2 linked regions of the Caenorhabditis elegans genome follow. The protein of the gene in region 2 interacts with the protein of the main gene of each other region in a pairwise test. Each region holds a gene or a part of one and is shown on either strand. Other genes may lie near its edges.

Region 1 (8,523 bases), on a different chromosome or scaffold from region 2:
CTTCCCATTTCTACTCTGTTCCCTCCTTCTTATCCTATTCCCGAAATGAAATGCAAACCTATAATTGGAAGGGTTTCCCGTAAATCGGCACCTGCTTTCCCTTCTCATGTCTTATTCTTAAGATTGTGCTCTTTGCCCTCTTTTTACTCTATTGTCATGAGTTTCAGAATGTGGCTCCGAGGACTTTTCGGAGGTTTATTCTTCTTATTTCTTCTATGTTCTTGTGTTGCACTTTTTGTGCTTCACAGTCTTTATTTCATTTTCCGGACTGCTTCACAAACTGAGAAAACTGAATCGAAAACGTGAGTTGAGCCACTTTGGAATGTAGCAACACTTACAAATTCGTTTTTTTCAGTGTTCACGATGATCAACTATTCATTCCTGCCCTCGTAATCTGCAACAGAATGCCATTTTCACAGGATGGACTAAACAATGTAAATGTGAATCTTCGTCAAGACTCTGCACTTCGATATCTTTTGGAATGGACGAATCCATCGCTTCGTGAAGCAGCTGATTATGTGGCACCTTCTGCAGATTTAATGAATCAAGGTCAAAATACAGTACTCCAATATATAACTCAATCGACAAGAAATCAAACAATTCAAAATATGCAATATCAATGTCAATCTGTTATTAATTCGTGTACTTATCAGGGAATTCAGTTGTCTTCTTTTGATTGTTGTCGGAATTTGCTTTCAATGATTCCAAGTACAAATGGACTTTGCTGGGTGTGGAAAGATTCAACTATGTGGCAAAATTCAACGGGAATAAATCGACAATTTTCTATTACTTTCCAGGTACTTTTTTCAAGATTAGGCTAGCCTAATGAGATTTTTTATCCAAAAAGGTATTTATCATAATTTGAAATAATCGACGCCAGTTGTGTCTTATTTATATATTCATTATTTGTATACTAACATTGTGGGACTCTAACCAAAAAACCCAAATTTCCTCAAAAAAGTTCAGTGAATTACCAAAATTTCAACAGAACATTTTTTCATAAATCTTTAAAATAATTTTTAACCTTTCAAACAATTTTTCAGATGACTAGAAACTCTTGGTTCTCAACATATGTTCCAACTCATCCAGGAGTAGATATTTATCTGAGAGAAGATGGAAATGATGTGATGAGAATGGCAACAGAACTTGAAAATCCAATTCGATTATTAGATAAACGAGGTGTCAGACTGCAAATGAGAAAAACTGTAAGTTTGTCCATTGTGGAGATAAAAAATAAGATAACCGACAAAATGCGATTCGCCTCGGGGGCTCAAAACAAAGCCTGTGAGGTGTAGGGGGCTAAAACATTTTTTCAGAGTAACTTTAGAAAATCAGGATTTTTCTAAACTCGTGCACATTAATTTTAAAAAAATTTCAGAAAAAGGCCGATATCAGACGTACTTCTTGTGGATACGCGTTAGGAGATGCACGTAGAAGCGATGAACATGCATTCAAGAACAATCATACCAATTATCTAATGTGTAATATGTTGGTGGCAATGAGATATTGTAGTTGTCATCCACTTATGGCTGAACTTATTCATTACGACCCATCGTCTTATCGGTGAGTTTATTTCCAAATTTCTAAAATGAATGAAATGTTCGATTACTGGGTGTGGTGTCTGATTGCTGAAGGATTACTGTAGAAGTGTTGGTGTATTGGAACTGTACTGGTACATGGATACTGTTGAATTTCAATTTTTATGCCTAGTAACTAATTTCTCAGAAAATAATTATAAAGTTTGAGAACCTCATACAAAGTGGTAGAACGTCCGAGCAACCATCTCAATTTTCAAGATTTTTTGTTATTAAATTCTGCCTTTTCTGTGCCATTTTTAGTATTGGAACATAACAGTGATTCGTTACACCACTTTTTGAAAATTCCCGACTTCAAAAATTAGTATAAATTTCAGTGATTTCTTGCTGCGAGTAACCCAAACAAGTGTGTGCAGCGTTGATGCCTATGACAACTGTGCTCGCCGTTACATAGATCTGACGAGAATTGAAAATTGGGAAGAAGATATTCCAAAGGATCTTCCTGGTTATGAAGACGCAAAGAAATGTAGAAATGATAATCAGAGAAGTTGTTTGATCACTTCATATCCAGGAACAATTGAAGGATATGATCTTCCGGAAGAATACAGAACCACTCAGGTAAGTTGTAAAATTACAGATTATATTGTAGAAATGTTTATTCAAGTTAGCATTTTTCAGGATTATGTTTCCCGTTTGGTTTTGGAGTACAGTACTATGAGAACAACAGAAATTCTGGTCTCCAAAGATCCAAATATCTATGAACTTTTGAGTTTTATTGGATACAATATGGCTCTATGGTTTACAGTTGGGCATATTTTATGGTACTTGGAAAATTTATTTTCTTTCTACTTTTTATAATTTCAGGTCAATGTTTTGGTATGCAACTGGGTTATGTTGTCCAAAACGTCAATCATCAAATAGAATATCACCTGAAATCCGCCGGAAACGTAGTGTTTCGTCACCAGAACCAATTGTCGTCGAGCATCGGCCAAGTCAAGATGTAGCTTCAGGAGACACATAATTATTTTTATTTTCGAATTTTTGTGAAATTTCAATCACTCAATTTTATGTATATCTCGATCTCTTACAACTGTTTTGCTCCTGTTCTCTCTTTTTACCAATTTCCTCCCAAATACTCCGGTTCTCTGAGTCTTTCTTCATGTTTTGTGCAAATAAAAATAAATACGAATCCCGTCGTTTTTTTCATGATCAACATTCGAGACAACGGGGAAACGGAGGAGCAAACAGATCATGATGAATTCACGTGAATTTCTTTTTCAAAATATGATCAGTTATGACAGAGATGAGTAGATGAAGCAGAGAAGGAGATGGAACAGTTTCTATAACTTGCAAGAAAGAAATTAAATTAAGGTTGGAAATCAAATTTCATCGACTTTTCATGTGCCCTGTTTGCCTGTTTTATGTTTGTCTAAATGCTGAAAAAATATTCAAAAATCATTCATTCATGAGCACCTAAAACATAGCTAGATCAAGTTTACGACGAGTAGTTGTTTCTTCATTGCGAGTTGTTGGGCAGGAATCACAGGACTTAAAGAGTCTCCTTATAAAAATTGAGCATAGTTCGTCCGTCCACTGACAAATACTGAAATATTATATTTTTTAACCTAATTACGATTATATGACTCACTTTTTTCATTTTTTGCATTGTGTCACTGTGTTCGACAGCTTTTTTGATGATCGCATTATTTCGAAGAAGATCCTTCCAGTCATCAATATTGTTTGCTTCATCAGAACACAAGCTCAAGCTGCAATTTATATTTAATTATATTAACAGCAAGGAAATGGTTGAATCTTACTATGTAGCCAATAAGATGCTTGTGAAGACGTGTCTTCTTCTTCCATACGGAAATAGGAAAGGTTCGTTGCTCTTCACAAGTGACTCGATTTCAAGTTGAGAAATGAAGTTTTTGTCCATCTTTTCTTGAACCAAATCGAACTCCGCATGTGTTTTTACTTGGAAATAAAGAACTTGGGGACTTTTGCTTGGCGTATTGATGGGAACAGAATCATATCCAGTCAATGTTGCGCTGATTCTGAAAATGTATGAATTCATGAAAATAGTTAATTTCCATAGAATTGAATAGTTAATCGAACTATACTAACTAGACGAGTTTTTCTCACTTACACCAGTTTTTTCGACAATTCCTCCAGTGCTTTTGCTTCCTGTGGCATAGTGGTGTTCACGTTCACAAGAGCCATTCGATGCAGTCCAGTTCCATCAAGCATATCGTCTTCTGCTTCCATATCTTGTCGAATTTTACGCTTACGAGCCTGACTCTTCATTGATTTTGAAACATTGTATTGTTTTTTGCAGTCGACACAACTAAGTTTGAAGGTACTGGCTGGCAAGAGTGGATCATTAGATCTTTGACTGCTTGAAGAACCACCAGATGGATCCAGAACATCATCAAAAATTTCGGGCTGAAACATTAAAAATATGAAATTGACAGTTACACATTTATAACTTTTACTATAAGAAATTAGACTCACATGGTTGGTACTGGCTGGCAAGAGTGGATCATTAGATCTTTGACTGCTTGAAGAACCACCAGATGGATCCAGAACATCATCAAGAATTTCGGGCTGAAACATTAAAAATATGAGCTGTAATATGTGGTGCTTGTTGAAAACTGACTTCTTCACGTGTATATCCTGTAATAAGTTTCAGCGAATAAACGCCCTCTTCTCCGTCGGTAGACGTGAGATCTCCTGTTTGCAGGTAAGTTGTGTAGCCTGGTCGGTGTGGAAGTTTAATCTTATTCGGCCGATCTCTTGACATAGTTGCTGAGCTGAACAATACATAAATTGTTTCAGGTGATGTACTAATTAATTATTTGACCATCCAATTTATTTATAGTTTGAATATTCTTTCATTTGTTCATGAACAAGAGATTAAGATTAAGAGATTAAGAGAATTGAGGATTAAGATTAAGAGAGATTAAGAGAAGAGATAAAATTGCAACAAAAACTGCCTGAAAGTGTTTTCTGCTACTTATCGAACCTTCAAAAAAACAAAAAACCAAGAGAAACGAATGGTTTTTTTTGAAGATATACCGATGGAATAATTAGATTTATGAACTTTTTGAAAAAATTGTCACTTTGCAGTTCCACATTTTTTGAGAAGTAAGTTTCAACTTTGATGTTCCCTTTGCCATCTTCAAAGATGTTGTTCTTCTGAGATTTACTTTCACAATTGATTCGCTGATTATGTGTTGTACAAAAAACCTCTCCTTATTAGTTAGTCTTGCACTCCCTAATAGAAAAAAAATATATGGCAAGCGGGATGACCTTCGAAAAACAGTATTGCAACCATGCTGATAGAAGAAATACGGTAATTTGCGTACAATACACCTTTTGCGAATGTGCATGTATTATTTGCGTATTATACATGAATCGCGATCGAAAACTTGTGCAAGCCACAAATCGCGATTTATAATTTATATACGTTTGTACTTTGCGAATGTGCCTTTTGTATGTCTGAAGGTATGTACAATATAAAAACCGCGATTTAATTGTGTTGGTGCACGTAGACTCATCCAAAAATGATACTAACCTTGAGAATGTGCGAGCGGCGGAAAAATGTTCGAAATAACTCATTCCGGAGTATTTGTTTTTTTCTTGTGTATGTGACCTTTTGTCGTGTATGCGACCTTGACCTATGCCTCGGCGTAATTTTTTCCATCTAAACAAAATTTTTGTTTTTTTTTTTCAATGTTAAAATGAAAAATTTCTTAAATTTCTTACGAAAAATTTCTTACGGAATGTTCAAAACAGTAGTATGACAGTAGTTTGTAGTTTGACAGTAGTTTGAGAAAACAGCGCGCAAAAATTTGGAAAATTATGAACATTTTAAATATGTAAATAGCAAAACTTGTTTATTTCAGCATCCCATCTTCAACACATTGTTCAGCAGAGGTGTACAACTTTAATCAAACAAACTATCCAGGGCTGTGCGGTGAACGCGAAAATTCGACATTCGCCTTCGCCAAACTGGGTTTGACTGTATTTGATAAACTCAATTTGGCTTAAAAGAGTACTTAAAGCTCAAACATGCTTCAAATTAAGGTTTATGTTATACGGGATTTAATGCAGTAATAAACAAGTATGCTTCATGAAATGACGATTTTTATTCAAAAATTCACTGCTCGATTGCAGACTTTCATAGATTGATGGTTCAGATTTTCATTCGGTATGCCGGGCAGCCCTGATTGTTATATTACCAAAATACGGTTTTTTTGTCCTCATGAAAAGTTTCCCTAAAGACTGTTATGATTTTCACCTACTATTTTGAGACAATTTTTATATTCAATGCGTCATGCACGCGTTTTTGCATAAATCCAGTTCTAGGGTGATGTGGCTCATAGTTTTCACAACTCCACAATTCCCAACAAGTTTATTTCTTCACGTAGCTTCTTTACCAGAAGTAACGAAGGTTAAAACCCAAAACCTCCAACCAAGAATTTTTTAAAAATAGATTTATTGAGACCCGAAGAACTCGGGGGATGTCAATTGGGGGGATTACAACTCGGGGGATTGGCCCGCCCACAGAACCGTGGCTTGCAATACGCCATTTCTGCAACTGCGCACGGTTTCGAAACTGTATTTTTCTCAATAGAGCGAGAATTAACAAGAAAAATACAGTTTCAAAACCGTGCGGCAGTTGCAGAAATGGGCGCATTTCACATGAAAAACTCAAAATGTAAATAGTTTTAACAAGCATACAATTTTTTAAACTCAGAATTTGATTTCAAAATTATATTGCTTGCATTATGAGAAAATGTTGCCAGTTCATACCCTTCTATTGTAGGTTTAATCTTTTATATGAATGTTCCCGGGCATTTTCGGGCAAAGAAACACATTGTAAAATGTAGAAAAATTCGTGGAAATTATTTTCTTTCTAAACTTTGTTTCATGAAAAGTTGTGAGTCACTTGTTTGTCAATTGTCAAAAATCTGGAATGCAGCATTTTGTCAATTGTCAATTTTTTTAAATATGAAAGATGACTTGTGAATTAACAACTGAATATATATAAAATATCATTAGGGTGACGTTCAAATGCTTCAGGGAATTTTTTCATTTGTATCATCATATCTTCTAACACCCACCAGGTCAAGGTCCATTTGGTACAAACATTTGTACAGATTAATGTACAAAGTTTATTTTTCATCTTGGATGTTCAATATGGAAACTTCCATTGTAGGAACGTTTATTTTTCTTCCCTCGTGCCTGCCTGCCTACGGGCCCGCCTGTTTTCTGTAGTGCTTCGTTGGTGCGCATTCCTAATTTCCTAATAGTCATTTGATCATTTCGATTAATTCACTGAAAGTTCGATTGAGAAACGAAGTGATGTTTTCCATGTGCTTTACTCGGCAATTCGTCGCAACTTATCTTAACTTTAGCAACTTAACTTTAGCAACTTAAGCGCCAACTTTACCCTTCCGCAACTTATCCGCCAACATTAGCAACTTTTCTACCAATTTTATATTCTCGCAACTTTTAATCTGTCTTTAGCAACTTCTTTCCCGACTTTAGCAACTTTTTAACCAAGTTTAGCCAATCTTAAAAAAATTTTCAGTGCAAATTTTGAGGGTATCCCCGACTTTAACCTAATTTGCCCAACTTTAGCAACGTTTTTACCAAATTTTAGCAACTTCTGCGCTTGGCATTTCTAAAGTTTCTAAAGTTGGTGGATAAGTTGCGGCGATTTGCCGAGTTAGCAGTAGACATGCAGGTTTGGAAGTGATTAATTGTTGTGAAGTTTTTTGATTTGAGAGCAATGTGAGATCATTTCAAAAAAATATTCTCGAGAAAAAACTAATATTTTTGAACATTCAATGACGAATTTTTCAGTTAAAAAATGTTTTTCGAAACTTTTTCCTGGATCGTTGAAATTTTTTGTATTTTCTAGTAGCAAAAATACTTATTCCTGTATCTGAACCCCCAGTCAGTTGTTCCCTTTTCTCATATTGGAATCCTTCATTGCCCTCTCACTAGTTGCAGTAAATTTTGCTGCTTTACTATGTCGAATCAAATTTCAAAAACAACTGAAAAACTGAAATTCATGTGAAGAAATTGTGATCTTTAAAAATTACAACGTATACATCAAACATCGTTTTCTTCCAAAAAATGTTTTCGTGAACTTTTCGGACACGAAGATGCACTGCTGATATTGAAATAGTTTATCAAAAGAGTGAATCGAAAAACAGAAAACCAGAAAATAAAAAAGAACAAAAAAAAGAAAAAAAGACGAAAAATCAGTGTCTTTGAAAAACAGAAATATTGCAGTGGGAAAGTGTTATTTTTCAGGTAATCATTGATTCGCAACATTCGATTCATTTTTGACGTAAAGACACTGATAGATGGTCTATTTGGTCTATTAATTTTTGCGAAAAATAGAACAAGAAAATAACTGATGAATTAAAAATTAGAAATTACTATCAAAACATATGTTTTCAACGTAGTACAGATTGACGGTCGCTGATCAGAATAATTCTGAACAAAAGAGTATGTTTTTCTTGATGTTTTCTGGAATATTCCGCCAGATAAACTTGGGCTTGTTTGAGAACGAGGATTTTCTCTGAATGAATTTAGAGATTCGGGAAGTAAATACAGAACTGATTGGGAGTCCAGTTTATTTATTTCTTTAATAATTTTAGTCGCCCGCTCCCCACTTGCACTTTTCCCCAACTCTTCGCCAGTTACGTCGGTATTTGGCACAATTTTCTAAGAGCTGACAATACTCTGGCGCGAACTGCTTTAAAACCTTAATGGAAGTTTTTAGAATTCACCAGATTGTTGATAGATGGTTTAGTTGCTCAACAGCTACATTTTGCTTGGTAAAATTTTCCAGGGCGTAGAATACAAGAGTCAATTACACAAATACGATAAATTAACCCCACTGGAGGAAATATTGTTTATGCTTACAAGTTGCCATTGAATACTTTACCATTTTTTTGTAAAACTTTTT
Region 2 (7,196 bases):
CTCATTTGTTATTTTGATTTAATATTTTCCATTGCATGTTCTGCTAATTTCAAGGCTCTTTTTTTCAAAAGCAGGAAAGCAGTTGTTTGCTAAGTTTTAATTGTTCTTGGGATTTTTGGAGGTAGAATTTTCTCTAATTTTTGCACTGATCTATATTTCTGGTGACTTACTTGTTTTGTTTCTGTCAGGATAACTATTATTCCAAATAATCTAATTCCAGAATTTGTAGGTCCATATGATTCAATCCAGTTCTTCAATAAGCCAAGATTCCCTAGATCTTCCAAGCGTAAGTTGTTTCATTTTAGACCAATATTTTTGACAATAAAAAAACTAACATTTAGATTCTTTCAACTTTCTCTGCTGACGAACCTGAAGACGAGCCGTCGCCTACTGCTGTAAAATCAACAAAACCCCAACGCCCAACTGAATGCCTGATTTGTGGAAACTCAGCAAATGGTCATCACTATGACGTGGCATCGTGCAATGGATGCAAGACGTTTTTCCGAAGAATGTGCGTGTCAGATCGGAGTTTCGAATGTAAAGCAAAAGGAGATTGTTTTGATTTAACAAAACGAAGTAAGGAATAGAGCTGTGCCGATTTTCCAAAAACCTTTTTAGAAAATACGGAATGTCCATACGAATCTTTCGAAACTTTTGATACATGTCTAGCTTATGGCCCAACGGTGCCAGACTGTCCCATCACGGTTTGATCTACAAAAAATGCGACAATTTTTTTGCTCAAAAATATGTTACGTCAGCACGTACTTAACCATACGAAATCAGTTGAGAACTCTGCGTCTCATCTCCCGCATTTTTTGTAGATCTACGTAGATCAAGCCGAAATGAGACACTTGGACACCACGTGTTCAGTTAAATTAGCTACTAGCAAAACAATACTGGTTGAAGTACGAAACATACTATTTTGTCTAATTACCGAACCCAAGTCCTTTCCAGCTCTTATAAAAACTTAGTTGATCTACATTTTCAGAAGTGCCTCTAAAATGCCGTGCATGCCGCCATCAAAAATGCATATCTGTCGGAATGAACCCCCTTGCAATGGAAGTTGATGAGAAAGCAGCGTCGTCGTCAAACTTTAAGAAACTAGTGAAACGAGCGCAGGATCTAGAGCCGGATGATGACTGTCAAGTGACGGCTGTTGTTAATAAAATGCAAATTGTAAAACCAGTCGATTCTATAGAAAGCAAAATGCAAAACATAACCGACATGCTGGTTTACTTGGAGACAAAAGTTGAAAGATTTCGAAAATCCGCGTATAACCCGCATTGGAATGAGTTCAGCGGGCTGGAGTACCTGCTGGAGTCGGAGTGTAGGATCGGATTTGGCGATAGATTCGGGGTAAGTTGAAAATGATTTATGCATATTCTTCAATCCTGTTCAAATTTCAGCCTATGCCCGGATGGCCTCTTCGAAGGGATCAGCTAGGTCCGCCAAGACTACCGAAACCACCATCCCCAGGGAAACCGAGAGACTCACAACACAGTCAAAACATGTAAGTTGAACTGGAAATTCACCACTTTCACACGAAATTTGTTCTATTGTTCAGAAAACAATGGTTCTTCTACAATTTACTGACAACTGTCGAATACGCCAAAACGTTCATGTTCTTTCATCGACTCAGCTCTCGAGACAAGCTGATTCTAACTAGGCACGTGGCATTGGCTTGTACGAACCTTCATATCTCGTACTCATCGATTAGAAGGAATTTAGAGGTTATCATTGAGCCTGACGGATCGGAACCCATGACTTTCAAGTGAGTCCTGGCTTTACGCGTACTGCTCGAGGAGAAGTGTACAATTACTTTTGCAGCGAATAGTTAATTCTGAAAAAAAAATCTTGAATATTTTCAGCGATACCCATTATTCGGCTTCTGTGATGTCTGTTGCACCGTTGATCCGTTGTCAAATTAAAAATATTGAATATTTGTTACTGAAAGCCATTGTATTATGTAATCCAGGTAATTATTTTGCGATGCAATAATACGGTCTCGACACGACCGAAGGTTTTTGGGATAAGCTGCAAAAAAGTATTTTTTTATATTACGGGAACATAAAACTCTGAGAATGCGTATTGCGCAACATATTTGACGCACAAAATATTTCGTAGTGAAAACTACAGCAATACTTTAGATGACTACTGTAGCACTTTTGTCGATTTACGGGCTCGACTCATTTGTTGAGGCCCCACGAAAAGGGGAGCAGAACGAAAAGGGGATCTGCAAAAAGGGGAGATACGAAAAGGGGATCTGGCACTGTGCCAAACGCTATTTTTCTCGAAGAAAACGATACAACGATGCTCCGATGTTACGCATCGCGTGTTGTTAAGCGTATCTTCTAGAAGAAAATTTCAAAAAACAACGTGCGTTGCGTGAGAAAAATTGCGTTTTGTGCGTTTGGCACAGTGCCAGCTCCCCTTTTCGTTGCTCCCCTTTTCGTATCTCCCCTTTTCGTATCTCCCCTTTTCGCAGATCCCCTTTTTGCAGATCCCCTTTTCGTTCTGCTCCCCTTTTCGTGGGGCCTCCATTTGTTGCTTTTCAAAAATCGAGCCCGTAAATCGACAAGTCTTCTAAAGTATTTCTGTAGTTTTCGCTACGAGATATTTTGTGCGTCAAATATGTTGCGCAATACGCATTCTCACAATTTTAGGGTTTTGTAATATTTCCTTGTTTGTTCGCAATTTTATCGATCCTTTTTTAGAAACCTTTTTTTACGAAAATTAAAAAATAACGAATTAAAAATCGTTTGAATATTTTATCTCGTGTACCTGGTACCGTAGTAGAGCTTCAGAAATCGCAACATTTAAAGGGGAAAGGGAATTTTCCAGCCGTCCCCGATCTCTCCGCCAAATCCCAGGAAATCATCTCACTGGAGCGAGTAAAATATGCAGATGCTCTTTTTAATTATTGTCTCCGAAGCCGGTCTGATGGTCCCCCGCATTTCGCCCAATTAATTCAAATTATTGATGTTCTCGAACGTCAGCAGAGAATGCAAAAGGATTTGCATCTACTTCTCGTGGCTCCGAAAGTAGCGAAATTGCCAAAGGATCTTGTAATGCGAGTTATAGAAGATATAATGGACTCGTAAATATTTAATAATTCGAGTTCTCTCACTAGTGAGAATAAAAGTGAATAAATGGGAAATGTACATATTAGTTAACAAAAATCAATAAAAATTACACACACAAATAAGTACATATGTGAGTTATTCAAAACCGGAATCGATATTTGCAGAATCCCATTTTTCGATTATTTCCAAAAACGATTCTTCGAAGGAAATCGGTGTTTCTTTTGCATCCATGGTAGCACCACTACGAATTTGACTGAAAAATATGAACATTTTAACAGATATTTTCTGAAAAAAATCCTACAATCTTGCTGAAAACAATCTGAAAACCAAAAGCGTCGCGATGAAGAACATTCCAGTTAGAACGGCGCCGATGATTGTTCGAAGAGGAGGAAAAACTGGAAAATTTTTAAAATAATTTTAATACTAATACTACTAGCAAAAAACCATTTTTGGAGTTGCAGTCGAACGTCACATCGATTCGCCGATTTTTGTAATCAAAATACTGTCGAGTAGTCCTCGAAGCGAATCCTGAGCACCATTTTGAAAGTCCTTCACCAGCATAATGATAGGCGCGAACTTCCCACTGAGAATTTCCATTTTAAATATTATTTAGGCATTCTTCTAACCGAATTGCCGACGAGAAACGGTTCGCTGAATGTATTTCCCTCTTCGTTTTCCATTTTTAGAATCGTGATTTTTTCCGGCAAGTCCATATTGAAATCCGCAAGCCTTGACAATCTCAAAATCAATTTCTAAAACGTTTCATGTTATTATAACCTACGTATTTAGAAAAAGCCGTTCAATATCCATTTGAATCTGCTTATCGACTCGTTCAAACGCCATATTCTTTCGATAAAGAGTCCATCCTGATGCCTTCAGAAGTACAGCAATCAGGGCAACGCCAACTGGTATTAGGGAAAAGCGTATCCGATAACTCATGTCTGAAAATTTTTTGTTTTTCGTATGAAAAATGCGTTAAAAAAATGGAAATTGATAAAAATTATTAATTTTAAAATTTAAATTGAAAAAAAAAACATTGGCGCCGGAACACTTTATCAGTTGGGCGCGACTGCATCAGACACGTCACGTGACAATTGTTTTCCCAACTTTCATGCTGGTGAGAAAATGGGTGGAGCTCCTTTACATTATTTTTCAAAAACAACAGAATGTTAAGATTTACAACAAAAAAAATGAAGACCTTCTTTTTTGTGCTTGTTTCATGTAATTACTGGTTGAACTGATAAACCTGAAAGATGGACTCCGCCTACTTTTCCACAAATTTGAATTCTCTGGAGTTTCTCGTTCCTCAATGTCTGATGGCTCCCGGAAAAATATTTCTTTTAATATGCATTTTCAGAACATTAAGCTTCAATGTCTTTTTTTCACACTCACAGGCAAAGCGGGTACGGTCCGTTTACGGATCTTGGACCGGGAACGGACCATTAACGGGCGAACTACGGATATGAAAAGCGGGACGGACCAATTACGGGCAAACTACGGGGAATGTAAAAAATGGCCATTAAGAGGAAAAAATGGATTTTAAGAAAACGAATTTTTTAATACCTATGATACCAGTTGGCTAATTCAAGCATTTTTACGTCGTTAAATGCATTATTTAGAGCAAAAACCACATTTACCGACCGAGATGGCTCTTGAGCCGTAGTTGGGCCGTTTCCGGTCCGTAGACGGTCCGTCGCCGGCCCGTAGACGGACCGTAAATGAACCGTCCCGGGCATCAAATTTTTGTTTTTGAAAATTTCAGGTTCTAGCACGGAAAAAGTGCTCAAATTAGCCAAAGGAGAGTGTAGGCACGTCAAAAACTCCATTTTCATGAAAAAAATGTTTCGTATTATCCTCCGTTTTGGTGATCATCCGTAGTTCGGCCGTAGCCGGTCCGTAGATGGTCCGTAAATTAACCGTCCCCGTCGGCAAAACTGCACTTTTTAAAACTAAACCTTGAATCCGGCAAAAAATTAGCCAACTGGCTACAATGGACCAAATAGCATTGTGGGTACTTCAAAAACTCAATTTTCATGAAAAAAAAATTCCTCTGGGCAACCATTTTGTCTATCATCCGTCCAACTGGTCCGTACGCGGCCCGTAATCGCATGCGATCTAACTGAGGCTATTAAGCATGACATTGTGTGTAAAAGAGGTTATATTAATGTAATCCTATAAACATATCAATAAAAAAGATGAAATGCCACAATTGGGTAGATACTGTGTATACGCAACGTTCACTCTCTCTGCTGGTCTTCTTCAGCTGAGCAACAGGAGCATTTTTTGAAATATCATAAAATATTTTACTAACAATACATTCTGGAATCATATCGTTTCTGTTCCGTGTGTATTTTAAGAAATTAAGGTATCATTCAAGTAGAACGCATATACCTTATTTCCTCTATTAGTATTGCAACCCGGTCCAATCGAAAATTAATCTTGCATGCAAGACTAATGGAGGAAATATGGTAAGTACCACTTCTATATTACAAGTAGATGGAGCACGTATAGGTAGATGTTAAGAAATATGCGAAATAAGTTCTGAACTACACGAAACTGTCAATTGTTATCGTTCGCTTTCATATAAGTCCAACGGCAAGATGGAGAATCAGAAACTACTGAAAATACAATCGAAAAAGTTGGTGTAAGACGTGAAAACCAGAAGAAAATGCGCGAGCGCAAGCTGATCGCTATTTATGCGAAGTCCATTGATTTTCCTCGCGTGCGCGAACGGCCAAATGGTAAGGTGATGGGCCAGTAATCAATCGACAGGCAGAGGACAAGTTCAACACCGGCTGAGGCAGATAGAATTGCTACAACGAAGGATCACCGGAAGACGGTCTGGAGCAAGACCGGAGCTCGGTGGAGCATTGGGAAAGAAAAAGGGGGCAGCTGGAGGGTGAAAAAATTTTCCAATTTTTTAGTCTCCTTACGGTTCAATTACGGTCCGTTGACGGACCGGGAATCGAACCGTGAACCGTTCTTAAATTTGAGCCGTTCCCGGTCCATGAACGGACCGTTTTGGGCACTTTCCGCTTTGCCTGTGACTGTTTACGTGATAAAGAACGATAATTTTTCATAAATCGCTTTCGAAATCCATAAAACACAAGTGAACGTTTTATTTGGTGGCATTTACAAAAAATGAATTTTAGATCGTTAAATTCAATGTAAAAATTCTTATTAGCGTTCCTTTCTACGATGATGGAGGAAGGAAGACGACAGGGATACGACGAACTCCTGAAATTAAAGATTTTTTTCTGAAAATTCTATGCCAGCCGCACCTTCCGCGTCTTTCAGCCCATCCTTCCATAGTGGCGGAGACTGACGAGCACTCGGAGACGCATTTTTGTGGTAAAATGCGAAATAATGCTTCTTCTCCGGCTGCAGGTGGGTGTTGGCGCTCCACATCACAAGATTGACAGTTGCACCGGCATTGATGAATGCAATCGGCGGTTGAACACGGAACAGCTCCGCTGAAGTGCAACGAACTTTGAATGTGATTCTCTTGTCTGTCGGATTGTGAAGTCGGAGATTCACATAGGATGGTTCTGAAGTGGTTGGAAATACCACCTGGAATAAAGATTTTATCCAATCCATTCTCATGGGAACCTCATTTTCACACCTTTTTCACGTCGAGCCACAACTGGAAAGCGGGCTCACCGGGCTTATTGGCCATACCCGAGTCTTCGCTCGCACCTGCATCTGTGAAGGGAAGATCTGCGGTGCTTGGTGTGAAGGTCTGATGGAAATTTGGTAGATTTAAACACAAACATTGAAAAAACTCACCTTTGCTGCCAGCTTCATAATTGTTAAATAAAAGAAAAACGTTGTTTTTCTTTTATTTGTAATTGTAATTGTTGTGGTCCAATTGAAATTCACGTTTTCCATCAACTAATTCGTGAATCCCCCTCAAAAATTTCAATTTTCCAAAAACATATTTGAATTCCCTCCAATATCGAGATATGCGCCAGCAAAACTGGAAATGCGCCAGCAGCCCCTCTGGCGCATCTCTCGATTTTCTCGCATTTTTAATGAATTTTCAGAAAAATTCCACGTTTTTAATTCGTTTTTACCGGAAAATTTACCATATTTTCGATTTAATTTGTGGAAAAT

What was found.
Region 1: the proteins of F57A10.4 (region 2) and F26A3.5 interact in a two-hybrid assay, tested with the Caenorhabditis elegans proteins (one large-scale study listed by BioGRID).

What each region holds. Positions count from the first base shown.
Region 1 is NC_003279.8:7,664,359-7,672,881, reverse strand, and holds F26A3.5 (DDE_Tnp_1_7 domain-containing protein), read right to left. Parts: upstream 5,154-8,523; coding exon 5,110-5,153; intron 4,346-5,109; coding exon 4,192-4,345; intron 4,140-4,191; coding exon 4,047-4,139; intron 3,978-4,046; coding exon 3,682-3,977; intron 3,590-3,681; coding exon 3,353-3,589; intron 3,302-3,352; coding exon 3,184-3,301; intron 3,139-3,183; coding exon 3,085-3,138; 3' UTR 2,982-3,084; downstream 1-2,981. Other genes in the region: del-3 (DEgenerin Like), read left to right, coding at 169-302, 356-797, 1,044-1,205, 1,379-1,563, 1,913-2,153, 2,214-2,356, 2,400-2,556.
Region 2 is NC_003283.11:15,766,266-15,773,461, reverse strand, and holds F57A10.4 (Sensor histidine kinase), read right to left. Parts: upstream 4,025-7,196; 5' UTR 4,023-4,024; coding exon 3,865-4,022; intron 3,822-3,864; coding exon 3,710-3,821; intron 3,667-3,709; coding exon 3,528-3,666; intron 3,479-3,527; coding exon 3,385-3,478; intron 3,337-3,384; coding exon 3,219-3,336; 3' UTR 3,102-3,218; downstream 1-3,101. Other genes in the region: Nuclear hormone receptor family member nhr-60, read left to right, coding at 236-286, 342-576, 989-1,356, 1,407-1,510, 1,565-1,771, 1,869-1,975, 2,842-3,101; F57A10.2 (Major sperm protein), read right to left, coding at 6,277-6,320, 6,365-6,653, 6,706-6,822, 6,870-6,887.